4 linked regions of the Arabidopsis thaliana genome follow. The protein of the gene in region 4 interacts with the protein of the main gene of each other region in a pairwise test. Each region holds a gene or a part of one and is shown on either strand. Other genes may lie near its edges.

Evidence for each region.
Region 1: the proteins of SKL2 (region 4) and PKT3 interact in a two-hybrid assay, tested with the Arabidopsis thaliana proteins (one large-scale study listed by BioGRID).
Region 2: the proteins of SKL2 (region 4) and AT2G42490 interact in a two-hybrid assay, tested with the Arabidopsis thaliana proteins (one large-scale study listed by BioGRID).
Region 3: the proteins of SKL2 (region 4) and AT4G25920 interact in a two-hybrid assay, tested with the Arabidopsis thaliana proteins (one large-scale study listed by BioGRID).

The regions. Positions count from the first base shown.
Region 1 is NC_003071.7:14,046,943-14,052,974, forward strand, and holds PKT3 (peroxisomal 3-ketoacyl-CoA thiolase 3), read right to left. Parts: upstream 4,459-6,032; 5' UTR 4,042-4,458; coding exon 3,952-4,041; intron 3,540-3,951; coding exon 3,463-3,539; intron 3,355-3,462; coding exon 3,270-3,354; intron 3,188-3,269; coding exon 3,061-3,187; intron 2,972-3,060; coding exon 2,873-2,971; intron 2,800-2,872; coding exon 2,732-2,799; intron 2,652-2,731; coding exon 2,544-2,651; intron 2,455-2,543; coding exon 2,377-2,454; intron 2,260-2,376; coding exon 2,127-2,259; intron 2,033-2,126; coding exon 1,936-2,032; intron 1,769-1,935; coding exon 1,645-1,768; intron 1,553-1,644; coding exon 1,444-1,552; intron 1,157-1,443; coding exon 1,073-1,156; intron 982-1,072; coding exon 872-981; 3' UTR 536-871; downstream 1-535. UniProt on the Arabidopsis thaliana protein: Involved in long chain fatty-acid beta-oxidation prior to gluconeogenesis during germination and subsequent seedling growth. Confers sensitivity to 2,4-dichlorophenoxybutiric acid (2,4-DB).
Region 2 is NC_003071.7:17,690,894-17,697,831, reverse strand, and holds AT2G42490 (Copper amine oxidase family protein), read left to right. Parts: upstream 1-1,808; 5' UTR 1,809-2,305; coding exon 2,306-2,510; intron 2,511-2,722; coding exon 2,723-2,832; intron 2,833-2,915; coding exon 2,916-3,221; intron 3,222-3,318; coding exon 3,319-3,431; intron 3,432-3,511; coding exon 3,512-3,842; intron 3,843-3,925; coding exon 3,926-4,141; intron 4,142-4,215; coding exon 4,216-4,452; intron 4,453-4,715; coding exon 4,716-4,901; intron 4,902-5,090; coding exon 5,091-5,231; intron 5,232-5,562; coding exon 5,563-5,831; intron 5,832-5,924; coding exon 5,925-6,006; intron 6,007-6,097; coding exon 6,098-6,232; 3' UTR 6,233-6,425; downstream 6,426-6,938.
Region 3 is NC_003075.7:13,163,653-13,167,406, reverse strand, and holds AT4G25920 (hypothetical protein (DUF295)), read right to left. Parts: upstream 1,933-3,754; coding exon 1,876-1,932; intron 1,794-1,875; coding exon 1,039-1,793; intron 927-1,038; coding exon 566-926; 3' UTR 535-565; downstream 1-534. Other genes in the region: NFU3 (NFU domain protein 3), read right to left, coding at 2,313-2,504, 2,601-2,899, 2,975-3,092, 3,178-3,279.
Region 4 is NC_003071.7:14,912,089-14,917,193, reverse strand, and holds SKL2 (shikimate kinase like 2), read right to left. Parts: upstream 3,258-5,105; 5' UTR 3,157-3,257; coding exon 2,914-3,156; intron 2,742-2,913; coding exon 2,551-2,741; intron 2,458-2,550; coding exon 2,263-2,457; intron 2,156-2,262; coding exon 2,094-2,155; intron 2,011-2,093; coding exon 1,944-2,010; intron 1,871-1,943; coding exon 1,752-1,870; intron 1,660-1,751; coding exon 1,483-1,659; intron 1,395-1,482; coding exon 1,285-1,394; 3' UTR 526-1,284; downstream 1-525. Other genes in the region: SRO1 (uncharacterized protein), read left to right, coding at 1-110, 189-296; AT2G35490 (Plastid-lipid associated protein PAP / fibrillin family protein), read left to right, coding at 3,397-4,019, 4,191-4,386, 4,574-4,885.

The sequences.
Region 1 (6,032 bases), 870 kb from region 4:
TTTTTTTGTAGAGGTTCATCGAATATTTGACCAGATTCTTACTCGAAAAAGAAAATCAAAATTACTCCGTCAAATTCATGGAATAAGAAATGAATACGGTGCCCAAAAAAGATGAACCTACACAAATAAATGATTCAGTGGATTTGTTTTGCTCTGTATAGTGATCAAAGTCGGTCAATTCGCATAATTAATTGGTCAAAGCCTCAATAATGATTTCCATATATGATAACATTGATGGCTCGTTTTTAACACAAAACTGAGGGGATGCATTGGAACATGATTATAACGTCTTATACTGCCGTTATAACGTCTCCGGTATCAAAGACAAGATACTATAACGAAAAGAAAAAAAAATACTAGAAGGAACGTTATATAAATAGCTATGAGAAAATAAAATTATGGGGTGAGAGAGGCTCGAACTCTCGACCTCAGGATCACTCAGTAGCTATGAGACCTACGCGCTAGCCAACTGCGCCACCACCCCAACTGTTACTATTAACACTGTTTTAGTTAATGAAATTCAAGGTAAAATCATGAAACACAAACAAAAGGCAGAACCCTTGACTTTATGAACGTTTGACTTATCCATCGAAATATAGAAATGGCTGCCACCCAAAAAATCTAAAATTTCTAGAAGCAACAACTGATGAAATTCGAGAAGAACAATATTCTTACATATAAAAGATTTAAAGATTATCCCCCTTCACTTAAAAAAAATACTAAACACATGACCTGGTCAAGAACAACACAAGACTCAGGCAAACATTGGTTGTGTGCTTTATTCGAAACTATAATAATATCTGAAGAAAGTGACAAGAAGACCAGAAAAGAGAGAGGTGAGGTGAAAAACGGTTTTGGTGCATGGTCCTCTCTAGCGAGCGTCCTTGGACAAAAGACCTTGCGCTTCAACTTTCCTTGCGTTGCGAAGCTCATCAACTCCATCTCCTCTCTCAAACACAGCTGCTGCACCCATCCCCGTCCCTGCCAGAGTTTACCAAATCAGTAAAACCATCCCTCAGACACATATTTCAGACACCAAATTCACAATGAATTATTCGAGTGAGAAGCATACCAATGCACATTGACACTACTCCAAAACGGCAGTCTTTACCACGGCGTTTCATCTCGTGCAACAATGTAGCAACACAACGCGCTCCTGTGAGAGTTTTAACAAGTATTAGCAACTGTTCATGAGCGTTTTATAATTATATAGACACAATGTAGACATTGATATGCTTTGAAAAGGACGGACTGCGGCAAGATAGAGCTCTTGTAAGTTGGTTAAAGAACCATTAGTGAGGACAGAGTTTATAAAGATATATCTCGGCTGTGGATTTCTTAAGGTTTGGTTGAGAGTTGAGAGATTCTCATTAATTCAAGTCTCTATGGTTTGGTAAATTGGAACAAGCTTAACAGTTTTAGTCCTGTTCTTAACAGATATACCTGTAGCGCCCAAAGGATGGCCTATGGCCATTGCACCTCCGTTGACATTGATTTTCTCTGGGTCAAGTCCCAATTTGTTACGGCAATAAACAAACTGAGATGCAAATGCCTGAACACACAAGGATTCAAACAGATGGTCATCATCAGAATGTGCGGGAAGAGATATGTGATAAGAAGATCATGAAATTGTTTGCTATATACCTCATTGATCTCAAACAAGTCGATGTCATCAAGTTCTAAACCAGCCGCCTTAACTGCAGCAGGAATGGCAACTGCTGGACCGATACCCATGATTGCAGGGTCAACACCAACTGCAGCAAATGTCCTGCAATATGTCCAATAGTGTGCTACTTAGAAAAAGCCAAATACAGAAAGAACAATGTATTTTCCACGTATACTAGCATATCTGTGTAAATGGAAATCACAAGCCTCTGCAGTTTTTTCGGTTTTCAGACTTCCACAGTCGTAGCTTTGTAAGTAATTATTACCCACCTGAATACACCAAGAACGGGAAGTCCTTTTTGCATTGCAACACTTCTCTTCATTAGGAGAACCGCTCCTGCACCATCACTTACTTGGCTGGAATTTCCTGTTTGCGACAGAACAAATGAAGCAATGGATTTAAAATTGTGATAATAAGAACTGTGGTTTCCATAATGAAACAATTGATTCGGGAAAAGTACCAGCAGTAGTGGTGCCATCCTTCTTAAACACTGGCTTCAGCTTCCCAAGAGAAGCAAGAGTTGTGGTTGGTCGGATACCATCATCAACAGAAACTGTAATGGGTTTCTCATCACCAGTCTTCGGGTCAACAAGCTGAAATTTAAAACACACGTTATTGACTAATACTAGAACATGAATGAAGTTCAGTAACTAATCCACCAAGAGAAGTCTTAAATGTTACAGTTATTGTATGAAGGATCTGAAAAATACCTTGGTCTTAACAGGAATGATCTCATCCTTGAATTTACCAGCAGCAGTAGCAGCAGCTGCCTTTCTGTGCGAGTCAACCTAGCAATATGACTCCATAGCTTAGCATAGCGATCAAAGTTATAGGTTATTTAAAATACAACCATACTGAAAAAGTTCAGTTCCCTTACAGCAGCTTGATCTTGCTCCTGCCTTGAGACACCAAAGCGTTGTGCTACATTTTCTGACGTAACACCCATAGGAAGAAGACAATTCTGCGCTTGTGCAAACTTCTTCACCTGAAATAACATAGTCCGTATTATAGTACGTATTAAAATAACAGAGCCAAGTAAGACTCCAGATAAGAGAGAATCAGTACCGCTGGGTTGACTGACCCTTCCCATGCCATTGGATTGGTAGTCATGGACTCCAAACCAGCCCCGATACCTGCATCCATCATATCGTCAGCTCGGTTCTCTATGAAAAAATGTGGCGTAGTTAAAGACGGTTATTCACTAACCAATGTCATAAAATCCCGCTTTAATGGCAGCGGCTACATCAGCAACAGCCTGAAGCCCAGATGAGCACTGTCTATTCACAGTTCTGACAGCCACGGTTTCTGCAAATGAACATAACAGGATGAGCATACAGGAAATAAAAACAAAGACTTTTCACCATTGTATTGTACTGTACATAGAAGAAACATACCAGGGAAACCAGCATAGAACGCAGCCATCCTGCATTCACTGGCTCTCTGAGATCCAGGTGCCAAAACAGTACCCACAACAATGTCACCTACTTCACTTGGGTTTAGATTCGTCTTCTCTATCAATGCCTATGTCAAGGAAGAACTATCTATAAATAGACGTAGAAAGGAAATAAAAACCAACAACAGAATAGAAAAGATAGCGACAGACCCTCAAAACAGGTGCGAGCAAATCATCGGGATATGTATCCTTGAAATTGCCACGTTTGGACTTGCATAGTGGAGTCCTATGTGCCCTGCAATGGATCAATAAGTGTAAGTCTATCAGAAAGAGACGAGAAATCTTCATACGTTGCTGAAAAACCAAATACCAAAAGAGTAAAAGCATAAGAGATGGGACTTACGCGACAATGACAACATCATCTCCATAGAGAGAGGTCCTCTGATATGCAGCACTGTCCCCAGCCAAGCAAGCAGAAGCCTGGGAATTTGGAAAGAACACGTTAAAGAGATCACACGTAGTAATTGAAATCAAGCTTTGACTTTTAAGAAATCATCAGTACATGCAGAGCACGGATAATTCAACCCAATCGAACAAAAATCAAACAACAACAAAAAAAAAAAAGATATCTATCTCAATCCAGTGAACGAAATACAAAAACAAAATCCAAGTCTTGAATTTGATCTCAATCGAGCTGAAACTTAAAATTTTCAGCTCACAGGCACGCCTCGAATCAAATTATAATTCAGCATCAAAATCAAAATCGAAAATTCCATATAATGAATCCAGATCAACAACGATCCATAATCCCCAGACTGCAAACACAAGAGAAGACAACCAAAAGATCGCGATAGATCGAGAGAGAGAGAGTGTGTGGTGATAGAATGCTTACAGATAGAGAAGCCTCGTAATTGTGCGAAGAAGAAGAAGAAGGTCGGAGATGCTCAAGAAGAACGCGTTGTCTCTCGATCGCTTTCTCCATTTTTTCCGGCTGATTAAAGATAAAATTCGGATCTGTTGTTTTTTCTCAGAGAAGGATTTGTTCTACACGAAAACTCACAGTCCTCGGGTTTGTGATCATTTATAAGGTAAGATGACTCACCGCTTTGCCCGTTCCGGGTAAATGATAATCCCAAAATAAGTAAGAATAAAAAATATCTCTTTTTCGTAATATTTCTTTGCTTAAACGACCAAAAAATATCATCTGTGACAGCGATACAAGTTCTTATCCTATAGTTGTAAAATCCAAATCAAACAGTTTTTAGCCTAATGACCTTACTCTAATTATGAATTAAAATGTTCACACTGGTTTGGTGATTGTTAATAGTGTGAAATAATTGATGATGAGAGTCATAGTCATAGATAAGCTGAGAGTGTGATAGAAGAAGATAAGATTAGGCGTGACGTTTGCCCCCGCCCGTTTTGGGCTTTGAAATGCGTGCCGTGTTTTTCATTTCCATCTTCTGGATCTTAATCTTCTTCATATTTACATAATAACCCCAACTATTTGTATTACTTCTATTTACGCCTTAAAGTTGCTATTAATTCTAAAAGTACCCTTCTTGAGACTTGATCGCTATTTTCTTTTTACGTTTTACCAACGTAAAGTTAAAGCCCATATGGTGTGATAGTTTGCAATACTATGGGCTCGGCCGGTTTAAACGAAATAAGAACGGATATTGTATAATAGTGAAAACTACATTTTCAATTAATAATGTTATTATGCGATTGACAAGCAGATGCAATAGTGTTTGAATAAAATTTTTATCAATATGAACTTTACTTAGGCATATATATTACCAATAATGACAATATGGCACTGCAACAATGCACATCTGCGTAAGGTTAGCATGTCAAGATCTCTTACACGCCGTGATACCAAATTTATATCGACTTGCAAATATGGGAGATTAAAGCTCTCTTTACTCAATTTTACTCAATCTTACAAACATTTGTGTGGTACTTTCCGGAAGTTTTCCGACATGTAATATTGAAATTAGATCGTGTAGAGAGTTATCAAATAACAAAAAAACTCGAGAAACTTTGTAGTTTTGTTATGTATCAGACTAGAAATTAACTCTAACTGAATGGAGAGATTAACATTGAAGAGGAAGAAACAAAACTGTACGTGATCAGCTTTACATTGTGCTTGTCTATCTTTACATTGTGATTATTGTAATATCGCCCTAATATTTTCGCATATAGTTGTCCATTTAACCTATTAGAGTGAAACATCTATATATTAATACTTGTCAATTTAATAATCATTGTAAATTAATAAACTTTTCCGGTTCAAAGTTGGACGAATATAATATATAACGTAATTGGATAAAAATGTTATTTGTTTTTCTTTGAATTTGTTTTAATTTTTGTGAAAAAGTCATTTTCAATATTTTTACTACATCTAAAAATTAACACTTATATAAATCAATAAAATATTTTATTCCCCATGTTATTAATTTATAATTTTATTTTACTGTATTAGCTCTTACATGCAACATCATAGACTTCAGTTTTATTTCTAACAAGATTATTTAATCTTAAACATCTATCCAATGTCTAATTTTTGTGAAACAATATAATATCTTATCAACTTTAGTTTTCAATCTTATCTTTTTATCTAATATACTTTGAGTTGGCAAACAAATCCTATGCAAAGAAGAGACGAAATTATTGAAAATGTTAATTTTCTTACTTAACCATACTAAATATCTTTATTCTATCATTTACTATATTCGTTATATTAACATATCTATGTTTTTTGTAAAGACAAAATGTTAACCAATAAATTTTACATTTTTAATAATTTTGTTTCTTCTCTGTATATATATTTTTTCCTGACTCAAAATTAAATGAGATAAAAAGATAATTGAATCTCTTATATATGATTTTAGGGTAAACATTCCCATATCTTATTCTTTTATATTATCTTTTTTTAATAACAAATACACATGTAAACTGTAAAGTATACAT
Region 2 (6,938 bases), 2.8 Mb from region 4:
TCAGAATGTGGTTTCATGTGAGAAATCTTCTAATTTTATTTCACGTTATTCGTTCTTGAACATCTCTGATTTTTGAATAGAACCTTGAAATTGTTATGTTTATTTGTTCTTCAAAGCTTGATATAATAACAATAGTCGCTGAACGCATCAGATCAGCCACTCAAAATGTTCGACTGTGAACCTTCTCTTGACTTGCAATCTAACGGCATTGAAGGCTTTGTTGTACTCATGGCTATTGCATTGAGAATGAGATAAATAAAGAACAACATTGAGACTCAGTGCAGACTGGAAGGAGCAAATTGATAGACCTCTAAATGAAGAGCTCAATGAGAAAGCTCCTGAGTTGGTGCTGAGCTGGATAGACAAGTGTTTTAATGTATAGAGTCGTAATCCAGTCTAAATACAAAGTAGCTGTGGGAAGTAGAAGGTTAAAGGTTGTTGTAAAGGGAACACATTCTACTTTCTCGGGACTTTTCTTTGGTCAATCAAGAATTGGTGCTTGTTTCTATCAGTAACTGAACAAAACCAGAGAGTATGAGTTTGATCTTTACCAAACGCAACAAGGCATACAAAGGCAAATCCATAGTAATGACAAAAGATATCTAAGAAATAATAAGATAAGTAATACATTTGCTTAACAACAAAGAACAATATAGTTCTTAGCCAAAAAACATAAAAAAACAATGAACAATATAGTTGAGAACAATGTGATAGACCAAAATCTTATGTATTCATTCATCAAAAGAGAACAGTTTATATTGGAATTCTAAACGTTTTGCCTACTATTGAAGGTTTCACAAGAAACAAAACAAACCAAAGACTAGAAAACAAAGTGTAATTCAATAGTCTACGTTAACATGACGTGTTTTCGCACCGAAGACAATAATATATAAACTGTGATGACAGAATATGGAGTCATGGACTATGTAAGGCTAAACTAGATTATGGAGTCATGGACGAATGAAGAGTTTTTAATTTCGTGAATTTCATAAATAATGTGAGCCTCGTAATACCACTAGTTGTAGACAGCGGTTCTTTGGTGGTCGATATTGCATGGATTATGCGGTCCACTCCACGATCTAATTATTACAACTATATACATATATTTATATATCATGCACTATATTTGTATTTTACAATCTTAAAACCATAACATATCAAAACACTTTGATTAGTAACTTTTGTAATTTTATAAGCTTCTTGTGATTTTTATGTGATAAAACATAAACGACACCAATTCGTTTTTTTTTGTTTTCATACATATTTTCTATAATATCTGTCAGGATCTAATAATTAATATACTGCTCTAAAAGTATATATCATATCAATTGTCTCCAAGTTTTGGTGAAACACCTCAAACTCAAGTTAATAAGACTATTTTGGTTGTATTCATGTTTTTTTTTTGGCTATGTTCCATTCTGCTTACTTCTTAAAACAATGTAGTGTCCAATAACAGCATAAACCTGATAAGAATAATAATTATGCGTGTAGAATTTTGGTGAAACACGTCAAACTTATTTAACAAAACATATATGTTTCATTTTTTTTTGGTTAATTTTTTCCCAATTTTTTTATTTTGAAATAAATTTTCGGATAGTGACATATAACCTTATGTAGTCTGTCAATTGTCATATTTTTCTATTTCCATCATCCTATATACTTTACCTTTGTTAAAACTCCTTAGATAAGAACTTCCAATATTTTCCTTACCTATATTTTAATTTCCAGTTTTATATATTTAGTACTTAAAAAATTCAAATGGAAAATATGTTTGACTCTAATTAGACACATATAATATATATTTCCAAATAGTAAATTACAAATTGAGAAACTCATGAACAATAGTGCATCCACGTCGTTATCCAAGTTGGATTTCTTTCTAAAACAAATAATTAGACCTTTAAAAAAAAATATAAATAGGTACTTGTTAAAAAGTAGGAGAGCCCACAAATAAGGCTTTGGCCGCTTCTGCTTGGACTCTCCAACAAAAATCAAACTCTTTAAAAAAACAAACAAATTGAAGAGCGATTATACGATCACGGAGAACTCAAGATCCGGTGACGAATCCAACTTCTTGTGACGGAGCTCAAGTCGAGAGAGAGAAGACTGTACTAGTAGTAGTAGCTGTGGATTTTTGTGTCATCATCGGAGATCGGAATCTTCTTCTTCTTCTTCTTCTTGGAGCTTCTAGAAGTGGAGAGAAGGGGGAAGATCAAGCGACGGATAGTGATAGGTTTTGCTGTATGTCAGTGGATTGTGTTGAAACTGATTTTGGTGGATTTGGAGAACTTGTGAACCCTATTCAATGGCCTCAGCTTCGAAAAAGACGTCGGCATGTCCTCACCACGGTGGCTCTCTTCCGCCTCCCAAACTCGTCTCCGCTGCTCCCGATACCGTTGCTGTATGGTCCGACGCTGACGATCAGCGAGCCTCTAAAGTTTCTTTGGAATCCGTTATCCGCCCTGTCGATTCGTTTCCTGATAATACTGCCAAGAAACCTGCCAACAAAGGTTTGATTTGATCGTTGATCGTCCTTCATTCTTCTGATGTTAGCTCGCGATTCGTTTGAATTACTTGACTTCTTGTTTACTGGAATTTGTTGATGATGGTTACTTTTTGTGAAATTGGTTCTTGTCTACTTGATGGCTTCTGATTGAGATCTAATTGTGATCACTATTGTGGTTTCTGTGAAGTTGATTTTCTGTTGTGATCACCAATGCAGGGATTTCTGTGATGCCAAGGACTGAAACCAAGCACCCATTGGATCCTCTTTCTGCTGCAGAAATATCAGTTGCTGTGGCGACTGTTCGCGCAGCTGGTGCCAATCCTGAGGTGCGCAAACTTACTTGATTCTTGACAAATGCAGAATGCTTGATAACATTGTCACTGAAACTGTTTTACTTTTTCTTTGGCAGGTTAGGGATGGCATGCGTTTCATTGAGGTGGCATCAGTGGAACCAGATAAACAAGTTGTGGCGCTCGCTGATGCTTACTTTTTCCCACCGTTCCAGCCATCACTACTTCCAAGAACTAAATCTGGACCTGTGATTCCGATGAAGCTCCCTCCAAGGCGAGCTAGACTTGTTGTTTACAACCAAAAGTCTAATGAGACAAGTGTATGGATTGTGGCATTGTCTGAAGTTCATGCTGTCACTCGGGGTGGACATCACAGGGGAAGAGTTGTTTCCTCACAAGTTATACCTGATGTTCAGCCACCCATGGTATGTTAAACTATGTTTTAAGGAATTGGATCTCTAAGTGACTTTTAGATGCTACCGTTGTTTGCCAGTCTCTAAGTTTAGATTCTTTTGATTTTAGGATGCGGCTGAATATGCTGAATGTGAAGCGATTGTCAAAGACTTCCCACCATTCATAGAGGCAATGAAGAGGAGAGGTATTGAAGACATGGATCTAGTGATGGTTGATCCCTGGTATGTTAACAACATCATCGTTTCTGTTGACAATTAAGGTGTACTTCTTCTCTGAGCCTACCTCTTAATGTATTGTGCAGGTGTGTGGGTTATCACAGTGAGGCTGACGCTCCTAGTCGTAGGCTTGCAAAGCCCCTTATATACTGTCGGACTGATAGTGATTCCCCTATGGAAAATGGATATGCTCGTCCAGTTGAGGGCATTTATGTACTTGTAGACATGCAAAACATGGTGGTGATTGAATTTGAAGACCGTAAGTTTGTGCCACTCCCCCCACCTGACCCTTTGAGGAATTATACCCCAGGTGAAAGTAGAGGGGGTGTTGATAGAAGTGATGTTAAGCCTCTCCAGATTATTCAGCCTGAAGGTCCAAGTTTTCGTGTAAGGGGTTACTTTGTCGAGTGGCAGAAGGTAGATTTCCAGTAATAGCCTACTTGAAACCAAGTGATTATGCTTAAGCTTATTTCTAAATTGGCTCAACATTTTGTTTACAGTGGAACTTTCGTATTGGATTCACTCCAAGGGAAGGTTTAGTCATACATTCGGTAGCATATGTTGATGGCAGTCGAGGTCGAAGGCCTGTTGCACACAGGCTAAGTTTTGTGGAAATGGTTGTGCCTTATGGCGATCCTAATGAGCCACATTACAGGAAAAATGCTTTTGATGCAGGGGAGGATGGTCTCGGGAAAAACGCACATTCGCTTAAGAAGGTTTGACATCAGTTTTTTTTTTGGTGTTCTTACCACTCAGATCTCAGTTTGTGTTTAACAATCGGTTTTTATAGGGGTGTGACTGTCTGGGATCTATCAAGTACTTCGATGCCCATTTCACAAATTTCACTGGAGGAGTTGAAACAATTGAGAACTGTGTTTGCTTGCATGAAGAAGATCATGGGATTTTGTGGAAACATCAGGACTGGAGAACAGGATTAGCCGAAGTGCGAAGATCTAGGAGACTAACTGTCTCTTTTCTATGTACTGTTGCCAACTACGAGTATGGGTTTTACTGGCACTTCTACCAGGTTAGTGGAATACGTGATTCTTCATTTCTTGAGTAAAGCAGATATTAGTCATATTTGCATCTAATTTCTATAGGGAAGACAAATGATGTGTCTCCGCATGAGAATAAATCCTGAGTTTAGTGGCACTTTGCTTGTGATTTTTCACTTGAGGACATTGATTTACAGTGCTGAATCCGAGTTTCATTTGTTTTCTGATTTGTAGTTTCATCTTTCTAGATATTTGAAGACCAATATCATTTTATGTCTTGAATGTCTTACTGTAGGATGGGAAAATCGAAGCTGAAGTAAAACTTACTGGTATCCTCAGTTTAGGAGCTCTGCAGCCAGGTGAAACTCGAAAGTACGGTACTACTATTGCTCCTGGGTTGTATGCACCAGTCCATCAACATTTCTTTATCGCTCGCATGGATATGTCTGTTGACTGTAAACCTGCTGAAGCTTTTAATCAGGTACCTTTTTATGATGCTGCTCTTCTTCTTGTTATTTACTTACATATGCGGATTATTTTCTCAGTATTTAGGAATGGCATTGGTAGCATATGAATTTTAGAAGTCCCTATAGTTCTTGAAAAAAAATCTTAGATACATGTTGTCAGCTGGTTTTGCTCAATAGTCAGCTTAATCCACTTTTATCTGTAGGTAGTTGAGGTAAATGTTAGAGTTGACGAGCGAGGTGAGAACAATGTCCACAACAATGCGTTTTATGCGGAAGAGAAGTTACTTAAATCTGAGGCAGTGGCGATGCGTGACTGTGACCCTCTTTCTGCTCGCCATTGGATTGTAAGCAAAAACCGTACCTTGCATGTTCTCGTCCATTTATTGCATGTTTAACTTTCACATTGTCAGTGCTCGTACCCGTCTCTGTAATATCCTTGTTTATATTTCTTTCATCCTTGACTATCTACTAGTCTCATCCTTGAGACTGGATTTGGGATAAGAGATCACCTGAGCATCCCTAAGTTTCAGTCATGTGTTTATATAGTCTCATACTTGAGTTCCTTTACCAAAAAATCATCTCAGAGTTTCATTGAATATGATTTGTAGCTGAAGTATAGATGGTATACTCACGCAAGATGTATATTCAACACAAATCATTGTAATGTGTTATCAGGTAAGGAACACAAGGACTGTAAACAGGACGGGCCAATTAACGGGATACAAACTTGTTCCGGGTTCAAATTGTTTGCCATTAGCTCGACCCGAGGCGAAGTTTCTAAGAAGAGCCGCTTTCCTGAAGCATAATCTCTGGGTTACCCGTTACGCCCCAGACGAGAAGTTTCCTGGAGGAGAATTCCCAAACCAAAACCCACGGGCTGGTGAAGGTCTTGCCACATGGGTGAAACAGAATCGCTCCTTGGAAGAATCTGACGTCGTTCTTTGGTCTGTATCCTTGTTTTACTTATCTGATTCAGTTAAAAACTACTACTTACCAAATTATGTGACTTTCAATGTGGAATTTTCATTTGTCACCAGGTACGTGTTTGGGATCACACATGTTCCTAGACTTGAAGATTGGCCGGTTATGCCCGTCGAACATATTGGTTTCACACTAATGGTAAGTTAAATCTTTGACTGTAACTTTCAATGGAAAAAAAACCTTACAAAGGATTGGTTAAAAAATGTTTTGGGTTTTGGGTAAAATACAGCCACATGGATTTTTCAACTGCTCACCGGCAGTAGATGTGCCACCGAATCCATGCGAATTGGAGACTAAGGAGAGTGAAGTCAAAGAGGTTGTAGCACCGAAAGCTCTTCAGACTGGTTTACTTTCAAAGCTTTGAAGAATATGAATATCATTTGTTTTCTTTCTTTGATCTCTTAAAAAATTGGAGGCGTTGCTGTTGGTTAAGAACAATTTCATATTTGAATCTTTTATTTTCGTGTTTGGTGTGTGTGTTTGCAAGACTAAAAAGACCTTTGTCATTGGAATATTTCTATTAAAATTTCATATTTGAATCTTTTATTTTCGTGTTTGGTGTGTGTGTTCTTCTATGAATTGCATTAGTTTCATACTTTGGAAAAGAGAAGCAAATAAATATAAACATTGGAAGAGAGGAGCAACATCTCTACTATTTTCATTTTATAAGCCAATCAGAGCGCTCCATGTCATACCCCATTCTCACCTTTTACGTGATTTCACACCCACTCTCACTAATCGCGTGTTGAGGGCGTGTCTACGTTTTCTGAGGGTTCTAACCCACCAAATGGCTTGTTTTGAAACACACTCGCTCTTTTTTAAAAAAGCCTCGAGTGCGTGATTTCAGTGTTTTTCTCCTTTAATTCCAATTCAAACCCAACCGAAATCAATTGAATTTTTCAAAACCATGTAAATCGAACCGAAATTAAAAACACAAACGACAAACTAGCAATTGTCACTTCCACAATTGATCCAACTCCGACGAACCAGATTGATAATTTTGATTCGATTCCACACAGATAACATATAGTCCAAACCAAATGCAATTCATATAGCCTAAAAATCTTAGC
Region 3 (3,754 bases), on a different chromosome or scaffold from region 4:
CCTCTCTTCTTGTGTTTGGTGAGGAGCCATTAAATCAAATTAAAATGTTGAGTAATTAACCTAATAGTTTGTATAATTGTTTATTCAAAAGCAATGTCTATAGTATATATACCACTTGACGAGGAATTGTTCACCGGAGGGTGACTCCACATAGTGATCCACCACAAAATAATGTAACAACACTCAAAATATGTGTTGTGATTTTGATTTGACGTGCGACTCTTTCGTCTTCCCCGTCTCTGTCTAGTGAATACCGAGGGTACTACACCTTAGGACATTAAATATACATATTTAGAGGATAACTTGTTTCAGGAAATAAATAATTATATAAGTTTTGTGCCAAAGTGTGTCTTACGTATATTAATTGAGAAATATGATGAATTAACCGAATTCGTTTAGATTCGCCTTCTTTTTTTTTTGGTAGGATAGATTCGCCTTCTTTTAAGGCACTAATATAAATTTCATTGAACATAGATTAAAAGAGAACATTGGATTTAAATGAAATCATGGGAAAGCAAAGACAGCGATAACATTAGCGAAACATAAACACGTGCAAGAGAGATAATTAATTAGGAGCTAGTACTGGAAAGGAAGCCGGAGGAGGCCAGTAAGGGAATTCCAATTTCCTTAATGGATTATCATCTTTTGTGAGGAACATAGTGCAAGTTTTGGTGGTGAGATCATAAACACCAAAGTTATAGCCCACAAAATAGATGCAGTTAGGCTTGAGGCCAGGGGACGAGCTAGCCGGGACGCAGAAAGCCTCACTATGTCCAACAAAAATGCAAAGATCTCCAATGTCTTCTGTATAGATCATCTTCTTAGTGTAGACACAACTCGGTTTCTCTCCCTCTTTAAACACCATGAACTTTTTTGTTACATTATACAGTGTGGTGTTGTCAATGTCCTCTAAATCCTCTCCATACCTGCAAAGACATGATAAAGCGCGCCAATATGATACTCAAGCAAAGGATTAGAGATTTTGGTATATATGTTATGAAGACAAAAGCTATATATAGCTTTAATTAGATAGTATACCACTTGACTAGGAAAAGTTGGCCGGTGGGTGACTCCACAAGGTGGTCTGTCCTAGAACATGTACTCACGTCGGCCAACTCTTGAAACACCGATTTTGGAAGATCGTCAAACTCCAATTCCACGAAATCAATTAGGTCGTCGTCCTCTGAGTGAGGATCCAAATAGCACAAGATGTTGCCTCCGGGAGTTGGAACGTAGAACTTTTTCTCTTTCTTGGAAAACATGATGCTCGATGAAGGGTTTATATTCTGAGGCTTGGTTTGGATGTTGATCCATTTACGGCTGCCAAAAGGCCTGCACATACTCAACTGAGATCCCAATAACTTGACAACAACTACCCAATTTTTGTCTCGTTTAGGTAAAGAGGACATGACCAGGCTTTGGATTTGTGAACCCGTCGGTAGAGGAGGTAGATCAACGGTCAAGTCTTCTATTTCGGGGTCAGTAGGCTTGTAAAAGATGGTGGGAGAACATACATCGCCGTGGTTGCCACAAAGCTCGACTCGCAACCCATCACGAGAAAACCCGACAGTCATCGCATCACAGACCTCCTCCTTAAGATCCTTGTCCTTAATCAAGACTTCCTTTTCATTACCGTAAACGTTTGTTGTTACGCGACCATCGGAGGAAGAGTTTGGGTTGTTTAGGATGTAGTCAATCAACAGAAACGGGAAGGCTGGTTTAGACGAGAAGGGCTGATTCACTTTAGTACTCGTGTGAGTTGCAGATGAGAACAGACGAACGTTTGCGTGTCTCTGCCATAGTTATGTTCAAGTATTCAGAGACAACAAGAACAAAATTAAAGTTAAAAAGAAAAAGCAAGAGAAGCTTACGTACGAGGAAATTTTTGCAGACAGAGGGTTTGAATATTCGGTTGATTATAAGCTTTGACATTGTTGAAACTCTTAACTATGTTATGTCTGTGTTTCCTCATATCTTCTTATGTCCGACTTATTATAGAGATTCTAGTATCCTTGCTCACCAAGAACTCGCTATAAATGCATATTTAATTAGAGAATAATTGGTTTAAGGAAATAACTCTTTAAGTTCGATTATCTTTGTGTAGTCAAGTCATGAATATTTTATAACTGTTACCTAAAAACAAGGATCACTAGAGAAAATGTCCTTCATACATAGGATACTTTTTTTTTCTTTTCCTTTTTCTTCAACAGAAATGGTTATTGTATTAGTTGTACTAATTATATAATTGGAAATAAAATATATTGAATCAAAAATAGGCCTTGTATATAAGTTACAAAATAAAAAGGTTAATGTCACTCTAGAAGCTGGACTGCACCTATAGAAGGAATTGTTTCCCTCAGTTTTTGAGTCAACGCGACACGAACAGTCATGACTCCAGCAGCTGGTCCAGTGAGTCGAACCTTGACCACGTAACCATCAATCTCAACTAACTCAAGCCCCCCACCTCCAGTACCGGATAGGTACGGCCTTAACTCAGAGAGAACCTAAATTGACAACAAACCAAAAAAGGACCATTCAGATCAATTTCAAAACCAAGGGGCTAATAAACCAAAAATAACTAAACCTTTAAAAAACCAAACCTTCTCAATGTTCTCATCGTTCAGCTCTAAACCTCCTGTCTCGGATTCAAGAAACTGCTCAACGGACATGATCTCTGGAATCTTGTCTCGAAGACGACTCTCGATTCCCATCTTCAACGTCATTGATGAGCTAGGACACGAACCACAAGCTCCTTGTAGCTTTAAAACCACCACAAGTCCGTCGATTTCGTGCAACGCCACGTTTCCTCCGTCGGCCATTAGAGATGGTCGTACTTCGTCTAACACTCTCTCCACATTCTCTTCCGTTAACGGCATGACGCAGCTCACGTGACCAAATACTAAACCAAACATAACAAGAATCTAAATCACAACTAAAGTTCTAAAGAGATTGGTCTGGTTTGCAAATCAAGTACCTGTTCGTTTTCTCAAAGGTCGAGTGTGTTGTAGCCAAGAAAAATGTATTCTTTGAAATTGACCCCTGAGGAATGTACTGCATTTGGAAGAGACCCCTAAAGTATCTGAAATTGCGTTCTAAACACAAGCGAAAGAGGAGAAGAAGAAATCAAGCAAAAGGAGTCATTTTTTTGGTGAAGCTCGACGAAGTGATAACAATTACCTTAGAATTGAGAAGCGACGAGCGGAAATTAGGGTTCTTCTCTGCTGTTGAGAGCGAGAGGTTCATCGTTGTAATTCGGGTTTGACCCGAAACAGAACCCATTTGGAACCTCACTTTTCTGCTTCACGATCGAGAGAGTTTCCAGAAATTGTGAAGATTTGGGGAATTCGGGTGGATCAAGTTTCTTTTTTTTTTTTCCCAGGAGATTCTGTAGCGAGAACAGAGTAAGAGTGGGAAAAAAAAAGAGAGAACTTTTCATTGGTGGATTGATGATGATATTGATACGTCTTGGAGATGATTTAATTTTGTGGCTAAGATTTTTTACTTTATTAATCAATACGACAGAACAGACTCCCAAAAGAAATATAAAATTAAAAAAAAATTGATTGTTCGACATGGGCTTCGCCTCTTATAAAGCCCAGCCCAAATATAGATAGACCCAAAAACGAGAATTGGATTCGGCACATCTAAGCAAGCCCATCCCAAATAGTATCATCAAGGGTAGAAGAAGAAATCTTCGGCTAATCTAATTTTTTTGTTTAGACTGATGATTTAAGAACATGAATTTTGCAAATAA
Region 4 (5,105 bases):
GAAGGCCCAGATCTCCTATAATGCCTTTCCCTCTGCTGTTCAAAGCAATCTCGAGCAAAATTGCTCGTAAAGACATGGATTTGATAATTGCTGGTTACCAGGAACTCAGGGTAAATAATATAAACCATGTCTTTTACCAATAGTCAAGGTTATCATATTGTATTAACATAATCGGTGTGCTCTTGCAGGAGAAGAAGGTGTCGAGAAAGGAATTTTATAAGACGCTGAGTATGATTGTAGGAGATGATGATCTGCTGATATCTACAATAACAGGCCTTCAAAGGAGTTTGGGTTAGATTAATGTGTCGACTTCTCTTTGCTGTCGTGAAACCTTAATAGTTTGGATTACGACAAACGTGACTTGATCTTTAGAAACTTAGTAGTAGTACTGTTATATTTACTCTTTTGGTGAAACTAGTCTCCATTATCCTGTTTTTCTTTACTTGGAATCAAAGAGTCTTTTATTGATCAACAGCCTTGGTTCTTTGTGAGGTTTAATTCATCAGCTGGAAGTTATTCAACAGCCTTAGTTTTAAAAAGCGCGCTAATGGCGTGCCATGGCGCATAGCGCACCGATGCTCTAAGAATAGGGCAACAAGACGTGGAGGCGAGGCGACATCTATAATGCGCACGCCATACGTGAGCCTTGGCCGATGCACAAGGTGGCAAAGCGATCGCCTCTTGTGTTCAGGCGAAAACTCTTCGAAACCAACAACAGAATTCTGTGATTTTAGGGTTTGCACGAAGAAATGACTAGGAGGAATAGGATAAACCATTTTCTAAACCTAGCTGGTTAATACATGATTCAATTTAGCTGGTCAATACCTAATCCACGACTAGAAAGTTTAACCATGAGTTATAATTAGCTTATCAAACCAAATCAATCCTAGGTTTATCTTAAACTAAAACGGATTTGACCCTTACCTCTTAACCCACGACATTTTAACCAGTTAGAAGATGTAAAATCCCTAATTTTTCTAAATAGAACACCATAGACGATATAAGCTTGAAGGCTAAAACCATATGCAGAGAATCTGTTAATAGAACACCACAGATCTAAAAAGCGCGCGCTTTGGTGAGCCATGGCACATAGCGCACTAAAGGACTCTCTGAGCCATGGTGCGCTTTGTGCCATTTAAAACTCAGATTGGTAGTCAATTCTCAAATTATCCAATATACAACTTCTTTAACAATTAAATACCATTGACAATGACAACAATAACAGAAAATTTCTTCAAGAGCATTCGTTTGTAGGAGAGAGCAAAAAGCATGTCTTGACACTGTTTATGTAAACTGTGGATGAGGTCCAGTGTCAGACGATGGATCCCATCCCGGCGGTTTTATATTGGGCCAATCGCCACGGCATCCCAAGCGTATGTACAAACTCTTCTTACCTTCAATATCATAAAAGACGCATTTAATCTCCAAAACATTTATCAGATTAAAGCATCAATTTACAAATGGGTTTCTTCTATTTATTACCTGGAAGTCCCTTGTCTGAGATGATCAGTTGCTTAAGTGCACTCAAGGAAGCCTGAGCCACGCTCTTTGCATGCGTCGGGTCCCAACCTTGGAGCTTCACCACAACGTCGGCGTTTGAATACCCAATCTCCCTCTCTTGCTTACTTCTCCTCGCTTCTTCTTTAGCTGACTCTTCATCTACATTCAGAACCAATCTTGAATGTATAAGCAGTGATTCTCGTTTTCTGTTCAGAAGGGTTCATTTTAAGTGGATGTAGAGAGAAATTGACCTGTGGCTTCAGTCTGTGATACCCAAACGGTAAATCCGGAGTAAAGATGTCTCCACTGATCAGCTCTCCCCGCAGCTCCATGTTTACCTCCCAAAGTTGAGACAACAGTACGCACATGGCTGCAAAGACATGGAGATCAGTGGCTAATCTTGGTAACTGGAAAGAGATTGAACACTAGACATGACTTTTTACCTGCTCAAGCTTTCCAATACCGAACTCTCTGCTTCAGCTACAGAATCCGGCCCTTCTGCAAGAATCCCTAAAATGAAGACAAACAAAAGGGTCCTGAGAAGTGAGGAAGATTCTTGTTAGATGATGACCATGATCCAAAAGCAAACTTACAAGAATCGATTGTTTGCTTGGAAAAGCTTTCCAGCAATTCCTTTGAATCTAAAGGACTGTACCTGCAGATCATAACAAGTGTATAAGACTCTGAAATACTATTCATACTGAGCTCATGAACGAAAGGCGGGAACTGAATTCACCCACTGAGAAGAATCTGAATTCATACCCAAGGCCAACGGCTAGCTCTCGAGACACTTTTTGGTTGATTTCAGTTGAATCTCCAACAATGTAGATTGATGCACCTTTAAGAAGTTGCATCATTCCTGCAGTCAAAGACTCCCAGGACTCGACAATATCAGGCCACTTCAATTCCCCATCCACCTTCTTCATATTCACAACCAACTGATCTTCGTCTATGTACCTGTTCTGGATCAAAACCAAAACTTCAGCCCTCAAGGAAATGTCACACATCACAAAAACAAGTCATATAATGCAAGATTTACACGTAGCTAACCATATTGTTTCAGAGGGCATAATCTTCTCAAAGAGATGGTTAGTCTCTAGAAGTGTAATCAGCAATCCATTCCGCTTTTCTTTAACGGCTAACGATGTTCCATCTGCGTCAACAGATATATCCTTTGGAGAAAGTATCTCACCTGTCTTTAACCTCAATCTTAATTCCACCTCTTTGCCACCATCCGTGAACTGCATCATATATGAAAACGATTCAATTTTTATCTAACTAATGTACAACAACTACATGATCATGGTATATATACATAGACCTTGGAACCAGCCATTTATACGCAATTCTCCATTTTATCACTCAGACTGATAGACCAGCAACACTAGTATAGACGTGAATACGAAAATTCACCTCGTAATCGATAGTGCTGGTGGATACGGCGGATAAGCAATTACATGAGAAGCTATTAAACCGGTCGGGGATAACATTTTGAGAGAATCGCCGGAAGCCGCGACGTCGGAGGCTGTGAAATCCACTGAAAACGCGAGGAGAGGAACGAATCCGATTCGAAGAAAGGAAGGTCGCTTGAGTTGTGACAGGGTTTAGTGAAGGAGAGTTGAAGATTATAGCCAAACCAGAAGCAAAAGCAGCCATTGATGATTGATTTCAAACTCACTCACTCAGACAAAGTATCACTACGGGGATAAGGGAAAGAGACGAATACAAATCGTTATAATGGGCCTGGGTCAGGCCCATTAGTTTAAAGTTTTTTTTTTTTTGAAGTTTTAAAATTGCGTTTTTTCTGGGGTCATCTAAATTTCGTGTGATTTTCTAAGACTTGAGTAATCTTGTTTTCCGAAATTTTCTCACCAAGCTCGAACACAAAGATCGGCCATGGCTACGCTCTTCACCGTCGCTCGTCCTTCTTCACTCCTCTATGTTTCCTCCATAAATCCAAGCAAGACCTTCTCTCCTTCTATCTCCCTAAAACTTAACTCTCTCTCTTTCTCTTTTGGTTATCGTCCCAAGCCACTCCGGTTTTCTAAAATCCGATCTTCTCTGCCCTCGGAATCTGAATCGGAATCCGACCTAGATGCGTCTGCAGTTACAGATGAATGGGGTGAGAAACCTGGAGATGCAAATGAGCCCGACTCTCAGCCAGATAATGTGACCGTGAATGTGATTACGGACGAATGGGGCGAGAAATCCGGACCCGAACTTGAGGAATCCGGGACCCGGTTTATGGAATCGGATCCTCCAAGGAACGAAGACGAGTGGGGAGGAGAAATTGGAGGAGAAACTGAAGCCGACGCTGGAAATGGAAGTGCGGTGTCTGACCCGACTTGGGAGCTGAAAAGGTGTTTGGCGGATTCGGTGTACGGAACTGAATTAGGTTTCAAAGCTGGGTCAGAAGTCCGAGCGGAGGTTTTGGAGCTTGTGAATCAACTGGAAGCTCTGAATCCTACTCCGGCTCCGTTAGAGAATCCAGAACTTCTCGACGGCAACTGGGTTTTGCTGTAAGTTAAATGATCTTGTTTCGATGATGTAGGAACCTTTAGTTGTCGCTGAGAATTTCAACACTGTGAATTGAGAATGAGACATTGTGAAATCTTTGATGAAGAATGATAATAATCCAGGAATTGTTACTGTTGTTCCAATTTTGTGTATTTTCTTGGGTTATGAAATAGGTACACTGCTTTCTCTGAGTTGATTCCTCTACTAGCTGCGGGTTCGACACCTTTGTTGAAAGTTAAAAGCATAAGTCAGTCAATAGACACAAACAATCTCATTATCGACAACTCCACTACACTCTCCAGCCCTTTTGCAGACTTCTCCTTCAGTGCTACTGCTTCATTTGAAGTTCGAAGCCCTTCAAGAATTGAGGTAACTAAACTTACAAACACCAGTTTGAGTATTAAGGTCACTGAAGCATTAACAGTTTGTACTTTTGATTACATTCCAGTCAATCAAACCTTACCATTAAAACAAAGCTATGTTAAAAAGGTTTCTTTGTAGATTGAATTTGTATTGGTATCACCATCTGGTTGTCTTAATGTTTGGTAAATGTCAGGTTTCTTTCAAAGAAGGCACGCTAAAACCCCCGGTGATCAAATCAAGTGTAGATCTCCCAGAGAGTGTGGGCGTCTTTGGGCAGCAGATTAGCCTTTCGTTGTTAAAGCAGTCTTTGAACCCCTTACAAGATGTGGCAGCAAACATTTCACGGGCACTCTCTGGTCAGCCACCTCTCAAGCTTCCGTTTCCAGGAAACCGAGGCAGCTCTTGGCTCTTGACCACTTATCTCGACAAGGATCTCAGGATTTCTAGAGGAGATGGTGGCCTTTTCGTGCTTGCCAGAGAAGGAAGCTCTCTGCTTGAGCTCTGAAATATTTGATAAAGTATATATATAGCAGGCTTCATGTAAAAACCGTAACCACTACAGTAGAGACATCTTCAGAATAATGCTGAATGCAGATTATTGGGCCTAATCTTAAATTTTAATTATGTACTCATTTGTCTGTCACGAAATTAGATAAGTTCAGTTTCGGTCAGTAGTAAAAAACTAAAAAGAATGATTCAGCAAAATTGGAGGACTGATATGAGAC